2 linked regions of the Arabidopsis thaliana genome follow. The protein of the gene in region 1 interacts with the protein of each later gene in a biochemical or structural test. Each region holds a gene or a part of one and is shown in the gene's direction. Other genes may lie near its edges. The genes, in order: TUA6 and GRF5.

Region 1 (11,018 bases):
TTAAATTACTCCGTAAGATTCTAGAACTGATTGCCGTTTAAATTCAGTACACAAACTACGCAATCCGCAATCTGTTGACGCAAAAGCAAAAACTGCAGGGTGTGTAACCAAAATACCCATAGTATTTAGAACTATTCGCCGTTTTAATTTAGTTACACATAAACTACACGCAATGCATCCATACAAAATCATAAAGAATTCTATGTGGTATACAAGAGTACAAGGCTACGAAAGAACTAGCTATTGCAATTTGCAAACTTGTTAAGACAAGTCTCGTGAATCATATTCAAACCCTGCAAGTCTTGGCAAGAGGTTCACAGTCTTTATAGATCTCCAAGCCAGACTGATCAAGTTGGTCTTCCTCAAAGCAAGCACAGCGTTTGCTCATCGAGCCAGTTATTGCTATCTCCAAAGGTCTTTGTACCAGTCTTGGCACTCCAACATCACACCAAACCTGCATAATAGCTTATGCTTTTAGTCCCATCAAGTATTCACTAATACGTTATAGTTCTCTCCCCTATAAACCGGATTGATAGAAGATAACAAGAGTTTCTACCTCTCCACCTTCATCTTGACTCCATCGTGAGTTGCAATTCGATTGCTTGGCTTCTTCAGTCTTCTGTTTCTCCATGAGTTGTGCACCTCTGGAGGCTTTTGCTTCAGCTCCTTTAAGGTGTTTAGTTGGATTCCCTTGGCTATCGTAGTACCGCCCAACAAGCTTCCCAACAGGACTGTTGATCACAAATTAAAAGCTGAGAACCAAACCAAGAGGACCATATAATACAAGGATTAAGGTGAGCAATGTATTATCCATACACCACCTTCTTAGTTTAACTATGCATCAGCTTTCTATTGTGTGAATTAAACATAAAAGTAATAAATTACGTGTAGGTCCTGGAGTAGAAACCTCGCCAGTCAACAATGCTCTTCACCTGCGGACAAGAAATCTTTGTCAAGCCATATCAAACATGTAACTAAACATAATCGGAGTTATAGAATATCAAACAGTTAACAAACTATATGCTACTTCAATATCTTAGAAAGTAATAGTTATGAAGAAATAAGCACATCTGGCACAATGGCAAGATCAAAGACTACTTTAGACGTTTCTATAATTTCATTGATGAGATATATGGAGCTAAAAAAACATTACCTCACTGCTAGATAACCCTTGTAACGAATCTGTAAGTCCATCTCCTGTACAAGAAAATAATCATAGCACACAAATGAGAAGTTTCCACAGATTTCAGGGACTTGATGTATAATATTCTCCAAATAGCTACAAAGTTTGGATAATTCTGACTTCTTCACGCATGACTAATATTGTTTATGAGGATTCAAAGATGTGTAATGGGAGGAACACAGAAAATTTCCTCATAACATTAGCAAGAAAAGAGAATGAAATCTCATTTTTTTCGAGGATGTCATGCCAATGTCCATAAGTACTAACAGAAGCAAAGACCATAATATACTACAAAATTTTCCACAAATTTATCTGGATCAAACAGGCATGGTGATTAGGATGCAGCAAACGATTCGTACCTGTAAAGTTGCCAGAAACAAATGCACGAGAAGCGTCTCTGAGCGAAAGAATGACATGGAAAAACACTTCCCATCAGCTACAAACATGAAAGATTAACAAGAAGAAGATAGAAGAACATATGAGAATCTCTCCACATAATTTTTAACAAAACAAACCTTCCAGCAAAATGGTTGTACCCTCCTCCACTACCGTAATGAAATTTTCCTTTCGTCACATCGAACACAGATCTGAATACTCAGTTCACAAGTTGTTAACATATGCGTTTACTTTCAAAAACCTGACAGCAGAAGGAAGGAAAAGAACTCACCCAAGAATCCCTAAGAGTATAGGTAATGTTTCATCAGTACCATTATACAATGCCAATTCTTCAGCAGAAAATAACCTCTTTTGATACTGAAACACAAACAAACCATCAAATCAAAGACATGAGACATCATCATAACATTGGTTTATCTATTTCAATTCTAATTAAACTCAAGACCCATACATAACAACCACAGAGACAAACTTCATTGGCTATAGAAGACCCTGTATAATTCAATCAAAAAGTAGCAGAAGCTAAATAGAGATTTTGAATTCCAGCTAAGCTCGTGTCTGTTTGGAATTTTCAGAACAGGGAAGTTAGTTAGAAAGAAGAGCAGTTGGTACTTGGTGTTGTGGAGACTTGAAGGAAGATCTGAAGTAGAGAGAGACGAGAACGACGATAAACGTGACGCCGACAAATGGAGATAAGAGAAACCTCCTCGCCGGAATCATCGATTGGATCCGATTTCACGTGTCTGCGAAATTTGCTAATTTTTTACACCACTTTTTAGGATGTGATGACTTTTTTAACTAAACAACAAAAGTTAAGGTACTAAACTGTGATACTTCAAATATTCAGAGTGCGTTTCATAAATTTTTTAAGACCGACCTTGAACACGATAAATTAATAAGATAATAATTTTTCTGAAAGTTTGATGTGAATGTATGGTCTCATCAATATCATAAATTAATAATTGTATAAATATATTAACTATATATATATTATATGTAAAAGAATTTCTTTAAAATATATTTTAAAATTTTTTTTGCTTAAATTCATATTTGTTCTTTGTTTGAGTATAATTTTCATATTTTATTGTATCAAAATTTTTGGTGTTGTTTTCTAAACATTATTATTATGTTTTACTTGTAACTGGTTCTAAATATATATTTTCTACAATGAAAGAAATCTTATAAAACAATTTTAAAAGTTACCAAATTAGGAAAATGTCTGTATAAATTAATAAATATTAATTTATCGATAAATTAATACCTCTCTAAATTAATAAAATTTCGCGGTCCCAACATTATTAATTTATAGAGGTTTTATTGTATATCGATTTATCATTTCCCTGAAGATTGATTGCAAGTTCAAACATACAATGGAAATTACTTATCTGATACACTTTGGTTCAGTCCTAAATAATGGTCTGATACGGTTCAATTCCAGTTAAAATTCCGGTTAAGTTCCACGCAATTCAAGGGATTTTGCTTTTCAAAAATTCCAAAATTATAAAATACACAGCTCACGAGAATAACAACAAATCGTGGTTTTAACAACAACCCAATTACATCATTACACGTGTAATATACCTGCCGTTACATACAGATGGGATAATTTTCGCTTATAAAATACAGCATCAAACACCTTCCTCATAACCTAGAAATCGAAAATATCAGATCTAAAGAAGAGCGTCTTCATAAACGCCCTTCGTCTTCTTCCCTGCAAATCTATTTTCTAGATCTTTCTTTCTTCCGCGAAACGACAATGAGAGAGTGCATTTCGATCCACATTGGTCAGGCTGGTATTCAAGTCGGAAATGCTTGCTGGGAGCTTTACTGTCTTGAACATGGCATTCAGGTTCGTCTCTTCCTCTTATAGATCAGATCTGAGATATTTTCACCTTGTTCTTCGGATTTCGTAGATATATTGTACGTAATTGCTTAGATCTGTGTTTGATTTATATAGTTGATGTAAGATCCGTTTCGATGAACCTGTTTAGATCTATTGTATATGATTTTTGTATTGATGTGGTGTATTGGATCTGGAATGTTACAGCCTGATGGCCAGATGCCTGGTGACAAGACTGTTGGTGGAGGTGATGATGCTTTCAACACCTTCTTCAGTGAAACCGGTGCAGGTAAGCACGTCCCACGTGCTGTCTTTGTTGATCTTGAGCCAACTGTGATCGACGAGGTCAGGACTGGTACTTACCGTCAGCTTTTCCACCCTGAACAACTCATCAGTGGTAAAGAAGACGCTGCTAACAATTTCGCCCGTGGTCATTACACCATTGGGAAAGAGATTGTTGATCTCTGCTTGGACCGGATCAGAAAGCTCGCTGATAACTGTACTGGTCTTCAAGGATTCCTTGTTTTCAACGCTGTTGGTGGTGGGACTGGATCTGGTCTTGGATCTCTTCTCCTTGAGAGACTTTCTGTTGACTATGGGAAAAAGTCCAAGTTGGGTTTCACTGTTTACCCATCTCCACAGGTGTCTACCTCTGTGGTTGAGCCTTACAACAGTGTCCTCTCCACTCACTCTCTCTTGGAACACACTGATGTCTCCATCCTCCTCGACAATGAAGCTATCTATGACATCTGTAGACGCTCCCTTAACATTGAGAGACCTACCTACACCAACCTCAACCGTCTCGTCTCTCAGGTTATTTCTTCCTTGACTGCTTCTCTGAGGTTCGATGGTGCCTTGAATGTTGATGTTACTGAGTTCCAAACCAACTTGGTTCCATACCCAAGGATCCACTTCATGCTTTCGTCCTATGCACCAGTCATCTCCGCGGAGAAGGCCTTCCATGAGCAACTCTCAGTTGCTGAGATCACGAACAGTGCCTTTGAACCTGCTTCCATGATGGCAAAGTGTGACCCGCGACATGGAAAGTACATGGCTTGCTGTTTGATGTACCGTGGTGATGTAGTCCCCAAGGATGTGAACGCAGCGGTTGGCACCATCAAGACCAAGCGAACTATTCAGTTTGTTGACTGGTGTCCTACTGGATTCAAGTGTGGTATCAACTACCAGCCACCAACTGTTGTTCCTGGAGGTGATCTTGCTAAAGTCCAGAGAGCTGTTTGTATGATCTCAAACTCAACCAGTGTTGCTGAGGTATTCTCCCGTATTGATCACAAGTTTGATCTTATGTACGCCAAACGTGCTTTCGTTCACTGGTATGTTGGTGAGGGTATGGAAGAAGGAGAATTCTCAGAGGCTCGTGAGGATCTTGCAGCATTGGAGAAGGATTATGAAGAGGTCGGTGCTGAAGGTGGTGACGATGAGGATGATGAAGGAGAGGAATACTAAGAAGAATGTTTCTTAAAAATTGGATTTTGTGTTGGGTTTTTCTCTATTATCTCGTGTTGTGATGAATGGGGGCTCGAAACTCTTACGAGTCTTAGTTGTGTGTTTTTCTAAACCTATATTTCTATCTCTTGCTGGTGGTTTGATTTCTATTATCTAGTTCGTTTGTGTATTGACTCATGTTTCTGGTAATATCTTTCTTACTATGTGATAAAGTAATCTCAAAAACTGAATTTTAGCTGGGTATTTTTGTTAGTTGAACTAGACTTCTCCTAAAGTCAACCTTTATCATATCTGCATAAGCTGCTAAGAACTATCTGGATACAAAAGATGGCACTGAAACATTATTTCAGTAGTAATATGAGAAGGAACTAATAACTGGAACTCATAGCAGAAGCAGAAGTTCCTTTGTTTCAATCCTATTCCTGTGGAGAGTGGAAATGGGCAATGGAAAGTATGAAGAGCCTGAACTTGAATAAAATCATAAGTTTTGCTGCTTGGCCATGTTTGGAGAGCTTTTCTTATATAGCTCGAAGTGCGACTAGAGAGGATCTTTGGCAATCATATATTTCGTCAGGTTCCCCAAGTTGGTTAAATGAGCTTTTTGTATCTGAATGTAGCATTACCTCTGTAATGTTTGTTGGGGCTCAGTTTCTATAACTTTATCTCTTTGTAGTTTTGCTGTATTTGGTAGACTCATTTGCTCATATTAACAGTGAAAAAAAATAACAAATAATTGGAACTAAGCATAGAACAAAATAAGCTTACACTAGATTTAATTTGGTAACAGTACCAAATTAGCAATTAATGCGTTTTTCTTTTCTGAGTACTTGTTCCTACAGAACCTTCTCTATGGAATCACAGGAACAAAAATAAACCTCCTGCAATCTCATAATCCCAATTTCCTACACAGAACAGTCCCACCGGAATCAATGTGACAAGATGAGAAGATGAGAAGACATTTTTTGTTTGTTGGCCCTTCAACTCAAATCTGGATAGTGTCTGTTTTGATGTTGGAGCATGAGGAAGAAAGATTGTGGGAGATTTTATCAATCTGAATGAGTCAAAGTAGCCATTTCTTTCTCTTGCTTCTTCTTCAAGTGTCTCTGTGCAGTTGCTGTCACAATCTTCACGAAAAAGTTGAGGAGCATGAGCCATACTATCCCGTTCCAGATCGATGCAAACGAAAAATCCCACTTTTTCACCTACTCAAGATCAAAAAGAACGCAAATTCAGTTGATCTTTTGTAAAAGCTTGAATTACATAGTGAAAAACTTCGTACTTACAAAGTAGGAAATGCGTAAAGTTTATAAAGAATGTAGCGGGATAGCGAAAGGTTGTTTACCTTGATGTGAGATGGAACAGGAGATGGTGCATCAATATACTTTTCTTTCATGGCGTGGAGTTTGGCTGTGAGTCCAGGCAACATAGAAGCCAATCCCGGGACATGGCTAAGTATCCAGATCAGTTCGTTCTCCATCCAGTCAAGCAGTTGGTTATTACAAACGCAGATGATAAATATCGTCTACATTACGAAAAAGGAGAAACAAGCACATAAGAAACAAAGTTAAAAAACCATTTGGGTGTTAAACTAGTATCTATGAGACACGAGGTTCTGAACCTGTATATGAGTTTTGATGATCGCCTTTCCGATTAAGGTCGCCAGGAAGAATTCCCAAAACGGAATGCCAAATTGTCCACACATTATTCCAGCGAGGTCAAACAAAGGATTTGGAACCTACAATCAAATCGAAGCAGTGAGTAATGGTAAGGTCCTGATCATTGAATCCTAGAAAGCAAAAGATATTATATGACACAGTAAATACGGTCATAATCCATTTGCTACTGCAGAAGGTAAAGTAAATTGGAGGATGCATACTAACCGAAGCAAGAACCAAGACAGTGAAGAAGTTCAAGTGCTGTGAATGGGTTAATAACCAACGCTTAACACGGTTCAGGTGAGTTGCCATAAATCCGCTATCTTCAGTGGAGGAACCATCTAATTCTTCCATTCCATCCACTGTGCTCCCAGATATACTAGCTGGAAAAATAGAAAAAGCAAACAACACAATAAACAACCGAGACCTATGCACATGCATGGACGACTACACAAATCAAAGAGAAATATATAGAGAGAATCAGTATACAAACCTGCCCTTGAGATGAAATATGGAGGAAGCTCCCCAAGAGCCGTCCCAATACCCCATAAGATTGCCTCCAACTGGACTTGTGGCAATATGCTGGTAAGAGGCACACGCGATCCAGCAGCTGATATCATTAAAGGAGGACCGAATTCCGAACAAGATTTATCAAGCCATGAAGGAACCCTTTTCAACTGTATTGTATCATATGGTGCAGATTTTAGATCAACTCGACCACATAGCGTTGCTTTTAGAGTGAACAAAGCAATGTGCGGACCCAAATAGAGAACGAAAGTATGGAGACCAGATCCTATACAAGAAGATAGAAGTAGTAAGACTAATGTTAATTGCTTCGTAAATGCGAAAGAACACTACGCTATTTGAGTGACTAACCAAGACCAATAGAAGATGCAACACCAAGTGCTATCCACCACAAGCCATATCGGACATACTCTAATACTTCTTCAACATGCTGTAACAATAAATACACATGTGTTAGACTTAGACCCTTCTTTATATCAAAATACAATCCAGGAAAGTCGAAACGATTTATACCTTGCCATGAGGTCCATCAACAGTAACAAGCAAACCACCAGATACCACTAACAAAGTGGTTATCAGTATAAACCAACCTCCATGAGCCAATAGATACGATATGGATCGCTTGATGTACTGAATAGTAGCCTCAACAAACAACTTCAATGTATTCAAAGGTTGTGTCGTTAATGTTAGATTCTCTACTTCCTTCTCATGCTTCTCACGCAAAGCTGCAAGTTTTATAACACACAGATTACATTAGTCCCATACAATGTGGGTCTCCCTCCTATTTCAACAAAGGTTAAGCCTTTCTCCTACATCACCTTAATACAAATTAAGCTATAAGATTGATCGCTAATCCAACATCACTAATCGATTCACATCAACAAAACAACACAAAACAAATCAAAAGCTGTGATTCAGATCTCGAATTCATAATTTGTATCCATGATATGAACGAATTGAGATGAAATCTAATTGATAAAAGGTCAAAAATCGAAAACCCAAAAACAAAAAGAAGAAACTTGCCTGAGATCGCAACATCAGAAGAAGAACTCGCTACACCAGCCGATCCCATGTCTTTGTGTGTAAACCTAATTGAGTCACCAAACTACTTATATAACTATATCTCAACGGATTTTTAAAATAGATTTCCAATGTTGCGAAGGAGATTAGAACATGGGTTCGGTCGAATTCGAGATGGGTAATAGATATATAGATTTGCTTTGGAAACAAAATAGGAATTGATTTTTCGATTTTATCAATGTTTTTTTTATAAGGGAAAAAACTTGTTTTGTAACCTAACGTAACGTGACGTGTGGGCTTTGGTCGAGATAAACCAACAAAACACAGATGAGAGATCTGGTCTTTGTAGAAGACACACAGAGAGAGATATGGAAGGAATTCAGAGAATGGAAAGAAGACGCAAACGAAATTTAACAGAGTTCAGAAAAACTCTCGTTCCTCTACATTCATTGATTGGTTCACTGGGCTTTAAAGCCCATTTCGTTCTTGCTTGGTTTCGGTTAGATCGGTTGAACCGGACATCTGGAAAGTATGCGAATTTAACGAACTTAAAACCATGATTTTCACATACACACAAAAAAAAACAAAGTATAGTTTGATTAGGATCCGTACAACGTGCCATTTTCTATTTTTACGATAAAATTGAGTAAATTTAAAAATTTGTTACAGTTAAAAAAAGTTTTTTTAGGAAAAAATAATAGAAAATATTTTTAGTTAGTTATATAATATTATCGCTACTATTATCATTTTTAACATTTTTATTATTTTTTACTATTACAAAAACCAATATCACATTTAATCGGTTCAACTCATATATTATATAGTATTGTTATAGATAAAATTTTAAACTATAGTTTAATTAAATCATCTTCTTATTTATTTTTTAAAAAAAAGAAATAATAATAATTAGAATAATAAAATATACCAACAAACTCATACAACCGTGTGGGTCGATTCTAATTTAACCAAATTTCATTAAATTTATCGACGTTTTGGTGTTACAATGAAAGGATTTTGCCGATGGCACGACCAACTTGAAAATTGAGAAATAAGTGAATCACAAGTATTGAACCAAAAAAAGCATCAAAGCTAATTAACTAAACCATTCAAAACATAAGAAATTAATACATTCAAGACATAATAATCAAAATCAAATTAATAACTTAGTCACAAGGCTAAAAATTGTTTTTTCAATGATCATATGTTTGACGTAACATAAGTCAATCAATACATAAGCCATCAGTTTGTTTGTCTAAGACCGTATTTACCCAATCAAAGGATCGTTATCGAAGAAATTTGAAGGCCGAAGAGTAAAACCACCGTGAAGAGTTGGCATAACCGGAAAATCCTCTTGGTATGGAATGTGATGAAACCCAACGTTGTACCACATCACTATGTCTTTGTTCTCTATCTCTCTGTTCCTGTTCCCATATAACAAACCACAAATTTATTCCTTAATAAACCAAAAAAAAAAATTACTTACTATGAAAAATAATTTTAAACTTTAGATTAATTATTTTTACTTTAAATTAATTACCTACTACTCCATACAGCTAAACCGTCATCGCCACGGCTCCGATCACTATAAAACCCACCGGCCCATCTCTCGGACCGGTCATAGGCGGTCACCCAAACCGGATATTTCGTGTAACCGGCTCTTAACTCGGGGTAATCATCATCGGTTAAAAGCGAAGTGGCTTGTAAATGTTCCGGTATCAGCCGGTAACCAACTGTATTTCCTATTTTCGTCTTCTTGTTCGGGTTTACTATTAACAGCTCAACCGGATCCGAGCCGAGTCGAACTCTACCGTCAGCTTCCGTTTTCGCCGTCTCTTTAACGACCGTCCAGTAACTCTTCCTCCGAGAAGACGTTTTGTTAACTTCCGTTACTCTTACCGTTTTGAGTTTGGCTTTCACCAAGGAATTGCCGTTACCGTCAACGTCGAGGTCCAAGTAGTACGTTAGGTAATGGTCGTGGTTAACGGCGATAGTGTTCTTCGCCACCAGTGTACCGTATACGTTCTCCGTTATTTGATCGTTTGAAGTGTACGATGTCGCTTTTACTTCTAAAACTCCAGTCAAATCCACCTACATATATATTAAGATTGATATACTTGAATACTTTATTATGTATAAAAAATGAAAGACCATGCTAATATATAAACTATACCCCAGCTCTGATGGCTCCATTTCTTTTAAAATTCTCAAACGAAAATCAAACTGAGTTCACTTGAAAAAATTATAACATATGTTAAAGAATCTTTACAGGTCAAAACTGGCCAGGTTGGTCTGGATTTCAAAACAATTGTATCAATCCAAAAAGTTAAATACTATATTAAAGAGAACATGAAGTAAACAGTACCCCAACTCTGATGGCTCCATTCTTTTTAAATTCCCAATCCACTATGTAATCATAGTTTCCAAGTGTGGCCACCATTCTAACCACTAAACTTATTTCAGCTTCCCCACTTGTTATCTGCAAAAATTAATTAAAGTAACTAATCAAAGTTCCTAGAAACGTAAACAAATCATTTAGTAATCTGTATTTTGTAAGTTTACCACTTGTCCTGGAACATTAATCTCGGTGTGTCTAAAAGAAGCACCGTAACCGTTTTTCTCGAATACACACATCACATTGGTCATCTTCTGAGCTGTCCCATCTGGTCCGGCCACGTGCCCATCTAAAAACGCAGCGTTTTGCGGGCAGTCAATGAGTGGCTGCAGATTCACGGCGGATCTCCCGAAACCAAACTCTCCAATGTCCATGAACGTACGGTAGTACCATTCGTAGGTTGGGTCCATGTACGGAACAAAAGTCTCTGACACGTGCCCTCTATACATCACTCGTCGAAACCTTTTGGTTCTCGGGTCAAGAACCGAAGCCGTCGATATAGTTACTCCCGCTCTTGCGGTAAATCCGACGTGGAATTTC
Region 2 (11,018 bases), on another chromosome or scaffold:
CAGTTGCTAACGAACGAATTTGTTTTTAATCCTAAATAGACTACAAAACTAAATGATCAAATCAATCAAATTTTGAAATACCATTACTCTTACTAAGTATTAATTAAAAAAACTAATTTTAGGTCTAAATTTATATTACGTTTATAATTAAATTTCTTTCTTCAAATGATGATCGGAATAATATTGCAGAATGTTGGAGAATATATGATTTTTAGAGAATCAATTAATATATGGCTAAAAATGTAAAACATATTATAATCTGGGTAAATTTTGTAATTTCAGGTTAATATTAAAGTCTCTAGAGCGACTAGAGTCTCTCAACATCGGCTTCACTTTTAAAACCCAGAAGAAAGCCCTAAAGCTCTCTCCCTCTCTCTCGCTCGCTCTCTAGTTCAGTCTCAAGTTATTCTCTTCGTGTCCTGAATCTGTGCACCAAAGGTTATCGAAAATGTCAGTGCGAGTTCTGAATCCTAATGCCGAGGTTCTCAACAAATCTGCGGCGCTTCATATGACCATCAACGCCGCCAAGGGTTTGCAAGATGTACTCAAGTCGAATCTCGGTCCTAAAGGAACAATCAAAATGTATTTTATCCTCTTGATTTAATCTGATCTATGTATATACTGTTCATTATCTTCAAATTCCTCATGTGCTTCTCACTCGATGCAGGCTTGTTGGTGGTTCTGGGGATATTAAGCTTACCAAAGATGGGAACACGCTATTGAAGGAAATGGTGAGTTTGATCTTTTAAAATCAATCTAGATCGTATTGATCTGTTAGAATCGAGCTCTGTTTTGGCTTTTTAGTGTTGAAGGGTGCTCAGAAGCCCGTGAATTGTGTCATTTAGTACTACGCTAGATAAGATAGACGAAAGGATTAAGATACTGCCGGATAATCTTTGGTGTTGATATGGGCTACTGGTATGCTCCTTTACAAGTTATCTTGGTTCGATGATGCTTACACTCTGATTTCTTAACTGTTGCAGCAAATTCAGAATCCAACAGCCATTATGATTGCGAGGACAGCTGTTGCACAGGATGATATAAGTGGTGATGGTACTACTTCCACTGTTATCTTCATTGGTGAGCTTATGAAACAGTCTGAACGCTGCATCGATGAAGGTAAGTCGCTAATTGTTTGCTGAGAGTTCGTTAGTTTTATACTCCTATATGCTTGTTTTTATTTTATTTCTCAATCTATGTGTTATTAGTGGGGACCAACTATTTGTATTCAGCGACATTGATTTGCCAAGTTTTGTTTATATTGGGTATAGAAAATGCACAACTGGTATCTAGTTTTGTAGCCAGAATCCTAATGAAGGTTTATACTGTATCAGGTATGCATCCACGAGTCCTAGTTGATGGTTTCGAGATTGCTAAGAGAGCTACTCTTCAATTTCTTGACAACTTCAAGACCCCTGTTGTTATGGGTGATGAAGTTGATAAAGAGATCCTAAAAATGGTTGCAAGAACGACACTAAGAACAAAAGTATTCTTCATTTTATGATTATCTTTCTTTTCATTTGATTTTTCTTTTCGTTTTCTAATTTCGATTTACTCTTGTGGATTGTGTAGTTGTACGAAGGCTTAGCTGATCAACTGACTGACATTGTCGTCAATTCGGTGAGTTAACTGTTCTCTAATGGAATCTCACTTATTCTTTTCATTTTTTTTGTTCACACAGATGAGGACTCATCTATGCACCAATATTGGTTTTCGAGCTTGTTTGTCTTCTAATTATCTACTTTCCTCACATTACAGGTTCTTTGCATCCGAAAGCCTGAGGAAGCTATTGATCTGTTTATGGTGGAAATAATGCACATGCGTCACAAATTCGATGTTGACACACGATTGGTATGTCTTGACTTAATTTATTGTAAAATAGTTCCCTCATTATAGGTTTATATATGAAATACTTGCCGGTTTATAGTATGGACCTGTTGGAAACACTGACTTAATTCTGAATTAGGTTGAGGGGCTTGTTCTGGATCATGGTTCGAGACACCCTGACATGAAACGACGCGCAGAAAATTGCCACATCTTAACTTGCAATGTGTCACTAGAGTATGAGAAGAGGTGTGTAATATAATTCTTTGGTCAATTTGGCGAAGAGAAAGTAAAGGCCTGGATGTTTCTGGTGATGTGGACTAATATTTCTATTTATCTATCAGTGAAATCAATGCAGGATTTTTCTACTCTAATGCGGAGCAGAGGGAAGCCATGGTTACCGCAGAGAGGCGATCTGTTGATGAAAGAGTTAAGAAAATAATTGAGCTGAAGAAGAAGGTGGGACTGCGACCATTTCTCCAAGTTTTATTTTAAAACCCTGTAAAAAATACTAATACATGTTTTATTTCTTGTGCAGGTGTGTGGTGATAATGACAACTTTGTTGTCATAAATCAGAAGGGTATTGACCCACCATCATTGGATCTTCTTGCTAGAGAAGGGGTAAGCTACTTCTGTGTTTTCTTGCATTTAAACTTATGTTACAAATCGCTGAAATTGTGATATTTAGGAACAAGAAGAAAGATACTAGGGAAGAATGTGTTATTAAGTGAATTGAAATTGCCAGTAATATTAAAAGAGTAGTTCCTTCGATATACAATAATCCATGGAGACGATTGGCAGCATTAGTTTTTAGTTCTGGGACACTGACTGAGCTTGTCTATTCTTTTGTACCTAATTTCTCTTGTTTAGAAGCTGTTGAATCTAATTACCTTTCCTCATGTGTCCAGATTATTGGTCTTAGAAGAGCAAAGAGGAGGAACATGGAACGTTTAGTTTTGGCCTGTGGTGGAGAAGCTGTGAATTCTGTTGACGACTTGACCCCTGAGTCTCTTGGATGGGCTGGACTTGTCTATGAGCACGTTCTTGGGGAGGAAAAGTACACCTTTGTGGAGCAAGTGAAGAATCCTAATTCATGTACCATCCTCATAAAAGGTATTAGGACGACTTTTATGTCTTCATTAAGTTTTGATGGTTCATTTGTTCTTTTAGTAGTTTTAGTGTTCATTCATGAATTTCTTGGGTTTTGTAGGGCCTAATGATCACACTATTGCCCAAATTAAGGACGCTGTTCGTGATGGTCTGAGATCGGTCAAGAACACCATAGAAGACGAGTGTGTTGTGTTAGTAAGTACCTTATATATCTTGAAGTTTTTTTGTTAACATTGCTTTATGTTTCTCCGCAATATCAAAGAAATTGTTAATTCGTGATCAAAACCCTGGGTAAGGTTAGCATATAGACCTATTGTATATGTTTTGCGTTATGTTAATGTGTGGTTGCATGTTTCTGTAGGGAGCAGGAGCTTTTGAAGTTGCAGCAAGGCAACACTTACTCAATGAAGTCAAGAAAACCGTTCAAGGGGTAAGTTGATTTCTTCACTCGTACTCTAATTCTCGCAACATTACTTAATGCATCCCAATATTCTAAATTGCTAATACTATCATGAACATTGCAGCGTGCCCAACTTGGCGTTGAAGCTTTTGCTAATGCCCTTCTCGTGGTGCCTAAGACACTTGCAGAAAATGCAGGTCTTGATACCCAAGATGTGATCATTTCTCTTACGGTATGCATTCATCTCTCTTATCATCTTCTGCAAACTGAAATCAATTGTTGAAGGAACAAAGAATTAGAATTGCTCATTGTGATGCGCTTATGCAGAGCGAGCATGACAAAGGGAACGTTGTGGGACTGAACCTTCAGGACGGTGAACCTATTGACCCGCAGCTTGCTGGTATTTTTGATAATTACTCAGTGAAACGCCAACTTATCAATTCAGGGTAATGTTCGACCCAACTAGTCAATTCTAATAAAAGCTTTGGGTTTCGGTTGAAACCATTTCAATAACCGGCTATTTGTTTGTGTTGCAGGCCAGTGATTGCGTCGCAATTACTTTTGGTGGACGAAGTGATTCGTGCAGGCAGAAATATGAGGAAGCCTACTGCTTGAAGTCCTTTGCTTTTAACTTGGTTTCTAATTTGTAAGCACCTCAAATTTTGTTTCTTGGTGTAAATCCTGAATATTGTGAAACATATGTTTTTTTTTTCTTTTTGGCAATGAAAAACATATTTGAATCTGATCTTTAGATGTAGTGGATCTTTTGCAAAATGATAAAAAATAGTAATACAAAATCTATTTGAATCTGATCTCTAGATTTAGTGAATACACCCATATTTAAGAAAGGCCACAGTTTATTTATAAAAAAGGATATATTTTGGTTCGCAATGAACAAGAAACAAAGCGAGGACATTATATTGGTCGTACTCAAATCTTTTGTTCAACAAACATCTATATGGCCGAGGCTGAGACTTTACCCTCTTCTTGAACCATATACGCTCTCTTCATTTCCTCCAAGACATTGTCATTGGTGCTGCAGAATCAACAAAATAGTTTCATGGTTAGACAACATTTAAGCATCGGCCCAACAAGGGAGACGTTCATTAGGGAGTCACATAAAAAGAACTTGTGCACCAAGAACAAGACTGTGCTACACCGATATAGAAGATAGTTATTACTTCTCTTTTATCGCAGTATCAAAGAATCATCAATCATCCCCTTCTATAAGCTTATATTTGGTTACATATATATACTAGCACTGGTACGTCATGATAACGTTATGCATCTCCTAACCACAAGTTGTCTCATTTCATCATATCAGACTTACCAGTGAAGGGTATTAAGAAAGAATAATCAAAATCAGATGCCCCCATACACAACAAATCTTTATACGTAACAGTGAAAAAAAGATGACACCTCTAATGGAAGGAGCACTAAAAACTCGAAAAACTTACAATTGATGGAGGCAAGTGTTGAGCTCCCTAGCTTGCTTACGACATGTCCATACCACAGAAAAAGTTCTTCCTGTTGCGCATTGAGCATACTTGGAGACGTACTGATCACATTCCATTAATGCCTTTGCCTTCATCTTGCTACGCAGCGCTAATAACAAAGTATATACATAATCAATCAAACAACCATTTAACAAAAAAAAACCATCACCATTTCAACTTCAACACAATCTATAAGCTCAATTCATAGAAGCAATTTGACACACTCAATGAGAGCTTGCTAGATCAGATGCAAAATATGGAGTTACTACCAAGGGTTTATGAGAACCCTAATCCTCAATCTAGCAAAAGAATCTGCGTCTATGATAAGAAACCAGGCTTAAATAGTATCGATATGGTTGATCTCATTTTCGAGGCAATAAAAAAACCATTTGGGGGTTTAGGGTTTTAAAACATAGCGAGATGAAGAAGTCACGACATTGTCAAATTACCTTCTTCGACCTTCTTCTTCACGTGATTTTCACGAGCTTGCTCCACATAGCTACCCATTGACGACGGACCTTCGAGCTTTTCCGGCCTTCTCCGATCAATTCGATCAAAAGGGCAAAGGGGACTAGAAATGGGTTCAGGGCAAAGGGTAAATCCGTCATTTACCCCAAGGAAACTTAACTTATATTGCCATTTTGCCCCCTTAATATTTTTGTATTATATGAATGACCTTATTAACTTATGATTCGTCACATTTCACCCACTTCAATTTAAAATTATGGACGAGAATTAAGTCCTTTGACGGTCAACAGATTAGCACGTGTCGTATTTTAATTGGGTCGTTGCCCCTCTCTCTCTCTTTACTCTTTTCCCATTTAATGGTCACGAGACCGTCTCCCCCAAATTTCTCACTTCCCCTAATTTCGCTTCGAATTCAAAAGCCCTAATTCGAAAATTCCCATTTCTCAAGGTACGGTTCCGATCTTCCTTGCTCATACTTCGACAATGTTTTTTCTGCTTCTCGTTTTCTGCGTTTATTGTTGATATGTTGTTGATCTTCGCGTTTTGGTCATCACTTCAAGATCTGTAGGATTCAAAGTTCGTTCTATCGATTTTGGATAGATCTAGCAGTGTAAATCGTTTGTCAAAGTTTTTTATTCTTTGGGTGCGTGGATTAATTTTGTTAGAGATGATTGTTATCGTTGCTCTTGAATGCAAGATTGTTGCAGCATTACTGAGTTCTATTTCGTGCTCTTTGTTTATTGCTGCTGCTTGATATTTTCTTGTTGAAAACAGGTTTTTAAAAGAGTATTGCAAAGATGTCTTCTGATTCGTCCCGGGAAGAGAATGTGTACTTGGCCAAGTTAGCCGAGCAAGCTGAGCGTTACGAGGAAATGGTTGAGTTCATGGAGAAAGTTGCAAAGACCGTGGAGACCGAGGAACTTACTGTTGAAGAGAGGAATCTCTTGTCTGTTGCTTACAAGAACGTGATTGGTGCTAGGAGAGCTTCTTGGAGGATTATCTCTTCCATTGAGCAGAAGGAAGATAGCAGGGGCAACAGTGATCATGTTTCGATTATCAAGGATTACAGAGGCAAGATTGAAACTGAGCTCAGCAAGATTTGTGATGGCATTTTGAACCTTCTTGAGGCTCATCTCATTCCTGCTGCTTCTTTGGCTGAGTCCAAAGTTTTTTACCTGAAGATGAAGGGAGATTATCATCGGTACCTTGCTGAATTCAAGACTGGTGCTGAGAGGAAAGAAGCTGCTGAGAGCACTCTTGTTGCCTACAAGTCTGCTCAGGTTATCATCTTGTTTCTTCTTCTTAACCATATAGAGTGCTAAGATAACATGTTGTCTCATGCTATTGGTGTTTGTGTTTTTATGTAGGATATTGCTCTTGCTGATCTGGCTCCCACTCACCCAATCAGACTGGGGCTTGCTCTTAACTTCTCTGTTTTCTACTATGAGATTCTCAACTCATCTGATCGTGCGTGTAGTCTCGCAAAGCAGGTCTGTGTTACTTTTTCATTTATGCTATGCTTTCTGTCATTAACTAACAAACCTATATTCCAACTGTTTTGCTTGATTAAACTTAGCACATAAGAGGTTCTTTTTTTCTATCTATCGTTCATAATGTGGCAAAAACGTGTTACGTAGTTAACTTGTTACACTTCCATGTGGGTAGACTTTCCATATGTTCTAGTAATGGTTTGTAGATTGCTTACCATAGCCTGACCGATAGGGTTGTAGTTAATTTTGATGATGGGCAGAATTGGGAAACTAGATCCTGTGAATGGTTCCATACACTAGTGAAATTTGGACAACCTTCACATTCGGATTCTAGTTTGATTCAAGTACCTTTTGTTTAGTTACTAATATGATTTTTCATGGTGGTAGGCTTTTGATGAGGCAATCTCGGAGCTAGACACATTGGGAGAGGAATCATACAAGGACAGTACATTGATCATGCAGCTTCTCCGTGACAATCTCACCCTCTGGACTTCTGACCTCAATGTACTTGTCTCTCTTTACACTCATCATTGTTAGCAATATCTTAGTGATTGCATCATGCAGTTAAGATTCTTGTTGGTTTTCGCATAACATTTGTGTCTAATATCTAATCTCCAGGACGAAGCTGGTGATGATATCAAGGAAGCCCCGAAAGAGGTGCAGAAAGTTGATGAACAAGCCCAACCACCACCTTCGCAGTGATAAAATCAGATCCATGGAATGATTTGCAGACAAAAAAATATATGGCTTGGTTCTGTGTTTTTAAACAGAAAAAAACCTTGTAGTTTCCTTAAACATGGGCTGTAGTTTCCTTAAACATGGATTTGTAGTAGTAATTGTAGCTGCATGATTTGGTTATCGATGGTTAAAACTCTTTGTGTGCTTCTCACATGTTTTGGTTGTTGTCGTTGTTGCCGGTTTCACTATTAGACTGCATTGCATTACATGGTCCGGTCTAAAAGTTGAAAACTTGCTTCCTTCTCTGATTGGGGTTTAGTTGTCTTTTAGATTATGCTTCTCTAGGTGGAATGTTCCCCAAATGGAATTGGTTAAGACTCAAGAGAGTTGTTCAATGAAACGAAATAGAAATGGAATTTCACAACTTTAAACGAAAGATAAAGCCTCTTTCGGTTTGGAACAACTGTTAGGTAACACATATAATGGAATTACAAATCATAAATCCTCCATGACCATAAGCTAAAAAGTTGGATTAATTAATAAATGACATGGGAATGGGAGGTAACATTAACTGGTCCAAAATAAATAATTAATGTAATGACACATTCACATAATAATATCTCGAATTGAAATCCCACCGAGAGTGCCCTGCTTTTCCACTGAGTTTCTTCATATATATCTCTTTCTCTCTCATTTGTAATTGTATCTCTCACTTTTGTTTCAATGGCTTCAGCTACTTCCGTCATAGCCTGGTCATTTCTCTTTCTATTCTACCTCTTTGTTTTTCTCCATTACTGTTTCTGACTTGTGCTATTGCTCCTTCGTTTGATTTTTTGGCACAGGGGTTCTGGAGAAGATGGGCAACTAGGACTTGGAACCGATGAAGAAAAGGAATTGGCTTCCGTCGTCGACGCTCTTGAGCCTTTCAACGTTCGCTCCGTCGTCGGTGGTAGCCGCAATTCCCTCGCCATTTGCGATGATGGCAAGGTTACTTATCCAATTTCCTTTATGTGTCCTTGTTGTGTCTTCTTTGGTTGGTTTCGCTTAGAACTAACTAAAGTACAATGCTTTGCTTTGATTTTGCGATTTGATTCTAAGCCATGTCTTTAAGATTTTCTTAGTTCGCTTTACATAGGGTTTTTGAGATCTGTAGGACCAATTAAAAAGGGTTTAAAGCTCGTATTTTTTTTCTTGTCCTGAAGTCCAACTAAAATGCAACCAATATGTTTGTCTGAGGTTACTCTCGAATAGATCATCAGACTCTGGTTCTTGTCTCCATGGTGTAGTTTATGATTGATGTGTCACCAACATATAGAAATAATATGGTCTCTTAAATGGTTTCTCAGCTGTTTACATGGGGTTGGAATCAAAGGGGTACATTAGGACACCCACCTGAGACAAAAACAGAAAGCACCCCAAGTCTAGTTAAGTCTCTTGCCAACGTCAAGATTGTTCAGGTAAAACTTCTTACAATTATTTAAGTATTTTTGGCTCTAATGCTGTTTCCTCGTTGTGATTTACTCTGAATTGCCGTTTCTGTAATTGATCATAGGCAGCTATTGGTGGCTGGCATTGTTTAGCTGTCGATGATCAAGGCCGAGCATATGCTTGGGGTATGCATTTTCTCTCTCAGCTTCTTTCTAATGATTGTGACCTCAATGATCTTAATGATCTTAAGTTGTTCACCTTTTTGTTATATAATCTACTTAGGTGGAAATGAATATGGACAGTGTGGTGAAGAGCCTTCCAAGGATGAGACAGGTAGGCCTGTGCGGAGGGATATTGTAATACCTAAGCGTTGTGCCCAGCAACTTACAGTCCGACAGGTTACTTATGCTGCTAACCTCTCTTCATTTACCTCAATTTTTAGTTCTCTTTTTTTCCTGTCTAAACCATCTGTTCTCGGGTTTGTATGATTAAAATAACAGGTAGCTGCAGGGGGTACTCACTCTGTGGTTCTAACCCGTGAAGGTTATGTATGGACTTGGGGTCAACCGTGGCCTCCCGGTGACATGTATTATCCAAATTTCCTTTCGTTTATGGATACGACATTTGCATTTTCTTGTCTTCTGTTGGTTTATATGGTGTTTCCTGTGTATCGCAGAAAACAAATTTCTGTTCCTGTAAGAGTTCAGGGTCTTGAAAACGTTCGTCTGATTGCTGTGGGAGCATTTCATAACTTGGCTCTGAAAGAAGATGGGACTTTGTGGGCTTGGGGTAATAATGAATATGGACAACTTGGAACTGGAGACACACAACCGAGATCGTATCCTATTCCTGTCCAAGGCCTTGACGATCTCACTTTGGTATGTAGTCTAAGACTTCTGGTTTAAGCACTCATTATTATAACTGATGCCTTCAGATATGTGAACTATAAAGGCCTATGTTAAAGTTTAATTCCTCCTCTGAATTCATGTTAGGTTGATATCGCTGCGGGTGGATGGCATTCAACAGCTTTAACCAATGAAGGAGAGGTATTAGAAGTCATACATTCTCTTACTAATCTAGGGTCTCACTTTTTATTCCATCTGGCTCTTGATCGAGTCATTACTGGGTTGTTTCTGAGCTTGATGTAGATCTTTACTCTAAAAATGTTGTAACTTGGCTATGTCCAATATTAGGTTTATGGTTGGGGAAGAGGAGAGCATGGAAGGCTCGGGTTTGGTGACAATGATAAGAGCAGTAAAATGCTTCCGCAGAAAGTTAATCTCTTAGCTGGAGAAGACATCATTCAGGTAAAAAGTACAAACCACCAGTTCTTGACTCTTCTCATAGCTTTGAAAGCTCTTATTGTTTTTTTTCCTCTCAGGTCTCTTGTGGCGGAACTCATTCAGTCGCTTTGACAAGAGACGGTAGGATCTTCTCGGTAAGTCCTCTTAGAGAGTATAAAACATTGTTGGTTAGAAACCCAAAGTCAATCTATAAACCTCTCCTTTATATTGATTCCTGTGATCAGTTTGGTCGGGGAGACCACGGTAGACTCGGGTATGGAAGAAAAGTAACTACGGGACAACCATTGGAGCTTCCTATACACATTCCACCACCAGAAGGACGGTTCAACCACACCGATGAAGAAGACGATGGAAAATGGATAGCTAAACATGTAGCTTGTGGTGGCCGACACACTCTAGCAATTGTGGAATGGAAGTATGATCAGGAGGAAACAGAATAACCATGAAGAAGATAGAGCGAGCAAAAAAACAAAAACACAAGAGGGACTCTAGAGATAAGCATTTGTTATAGAGAAAAGGGGAGCAAAAGCATATGGTTAAGCTTTTGACACTCCCATGAATGATGAATCTATATGAAAGAGGAAGAACTAAATATAATATCATCATGATTTTGTTTTTGATAATATAAAATAGATTGAAAAAGAGAAACAAATAAGAGGAACCTTTGAAAGGATGGTTTAAACCTTTAAACCTTTATTGATTCTCTCGGTTTAAAGGTTTTTCAACAACCTTTGACAAGATGAGGAACACAAATAGGGAAGATATACTTTGATTTTCTTGCTTGTCTTTGTCTTGATCTCACCCATGAGAAACATCCAG

What was found.
Region 2: the proteins of TUA6 (region 1) and GRF5 form a complex in vitro, tested with the Arabidopsis thaliana proteins (one study listed by BioGRID).

Annotation. Positions count from the first base shown.
Region 1 is NC_003075.7:8,542,637-8,553,654, reverse strand, and holds TUA6 (Tubulin/FtsZ family protein), read left to right. Parts: upstream 1-3,159; 5' UTR 3,160-3,335; coding exon 3,336-3,428; intron 3,429-3,626; coding exon 3,627-4,886; coding exon of another isoform or gene 4,887-4,902; 3' UTR 4,903-5,238; downstream 5,239-11,018. Other genes in the region: MAPR4 (membrane-associated progesterone binding protein 4), read right to left, coding at 287-454, 557-731, 886-932, 1,154-1,197, 1,543-1,580, 1,699-1,770, 1,851-1,936, 2,192-2,299; KMS1 (SNARE associated Golgi protein family), read right to left, coding at 5,933-6,088, 6,229-6,408, 6,505-6,621, 6,767-6,924, 7,035-7,334, 7,418-7,496, 7,580-7,791, 8,090-8,138; AO1 (amine oxidase 1), read right to left, coding at 9,351-9,507, 9,624-10,174, 10,449-10,562, 10,646-11,018. UniProt on the Arabidopsis thaliana protein: Tubulin is the major constituent of microtubules, a cylinder consisting of laterally associated linear protofilaments composed of alpha- and beta-tubulin heterodimers.
Region 2 is NC_003076.8:5,240,481-5,251,498, reverse strand, and holds GRF5 (general regulatory factor 5), read left to right. Parts: upstream 1-5,660; 5' UTR 5,661-5,747; intron 5,748-5,756; exon of another isoform or gene 5,757-5,942; intron 5,943-6,073; 5' UTR 6,074-6,096; coding exon 6,097-6,579; intron 6,580-6,666; coding exon 6,667-6,789; intron 6,790-7,176; coding exon 7,177-7,293; intron 7,294-7,407; coding exon 7,408-7,491; 3' UTR 7,492-7,944; downstream 7,945-11,018. Other genes in the region: AT5G16070 (TCP-1/cpn60 chaperonin family protein), read left to right, coding at 449-582, 668-731, 984-1,119, 1,335-1,486, 1,573-1,620, 1,759-1,851, 1,967-2,073, 2,169-2,283 and 7 more; AT5G16060 (Cytochrome c oxidase biogenesis protein Cmc1-like protein), read right to left, coding at 4,290-4,371, 4,793-4,940, 5,281-5,338; AT5G16040 (Regulator of chromosome condensation (RCC1) family protein), read left to right, coding at 8,191-8,219, 8,310-8,454, 8,814-8,924, 9,020-9,080, 9,178-9,293, 9,396-9,481, 9,572-9,773, 9,888-9,941 and 3 more; AT5G16030 (mental retardation GTPase activating protein), read right to left, coding at 10,921-11,018. UniProt on the Arabidopsis thaliana protein: Is associated with a DNA binding complex that binds to the G box, a well-characterized cis-acting DNA regulatory element found in plant genes.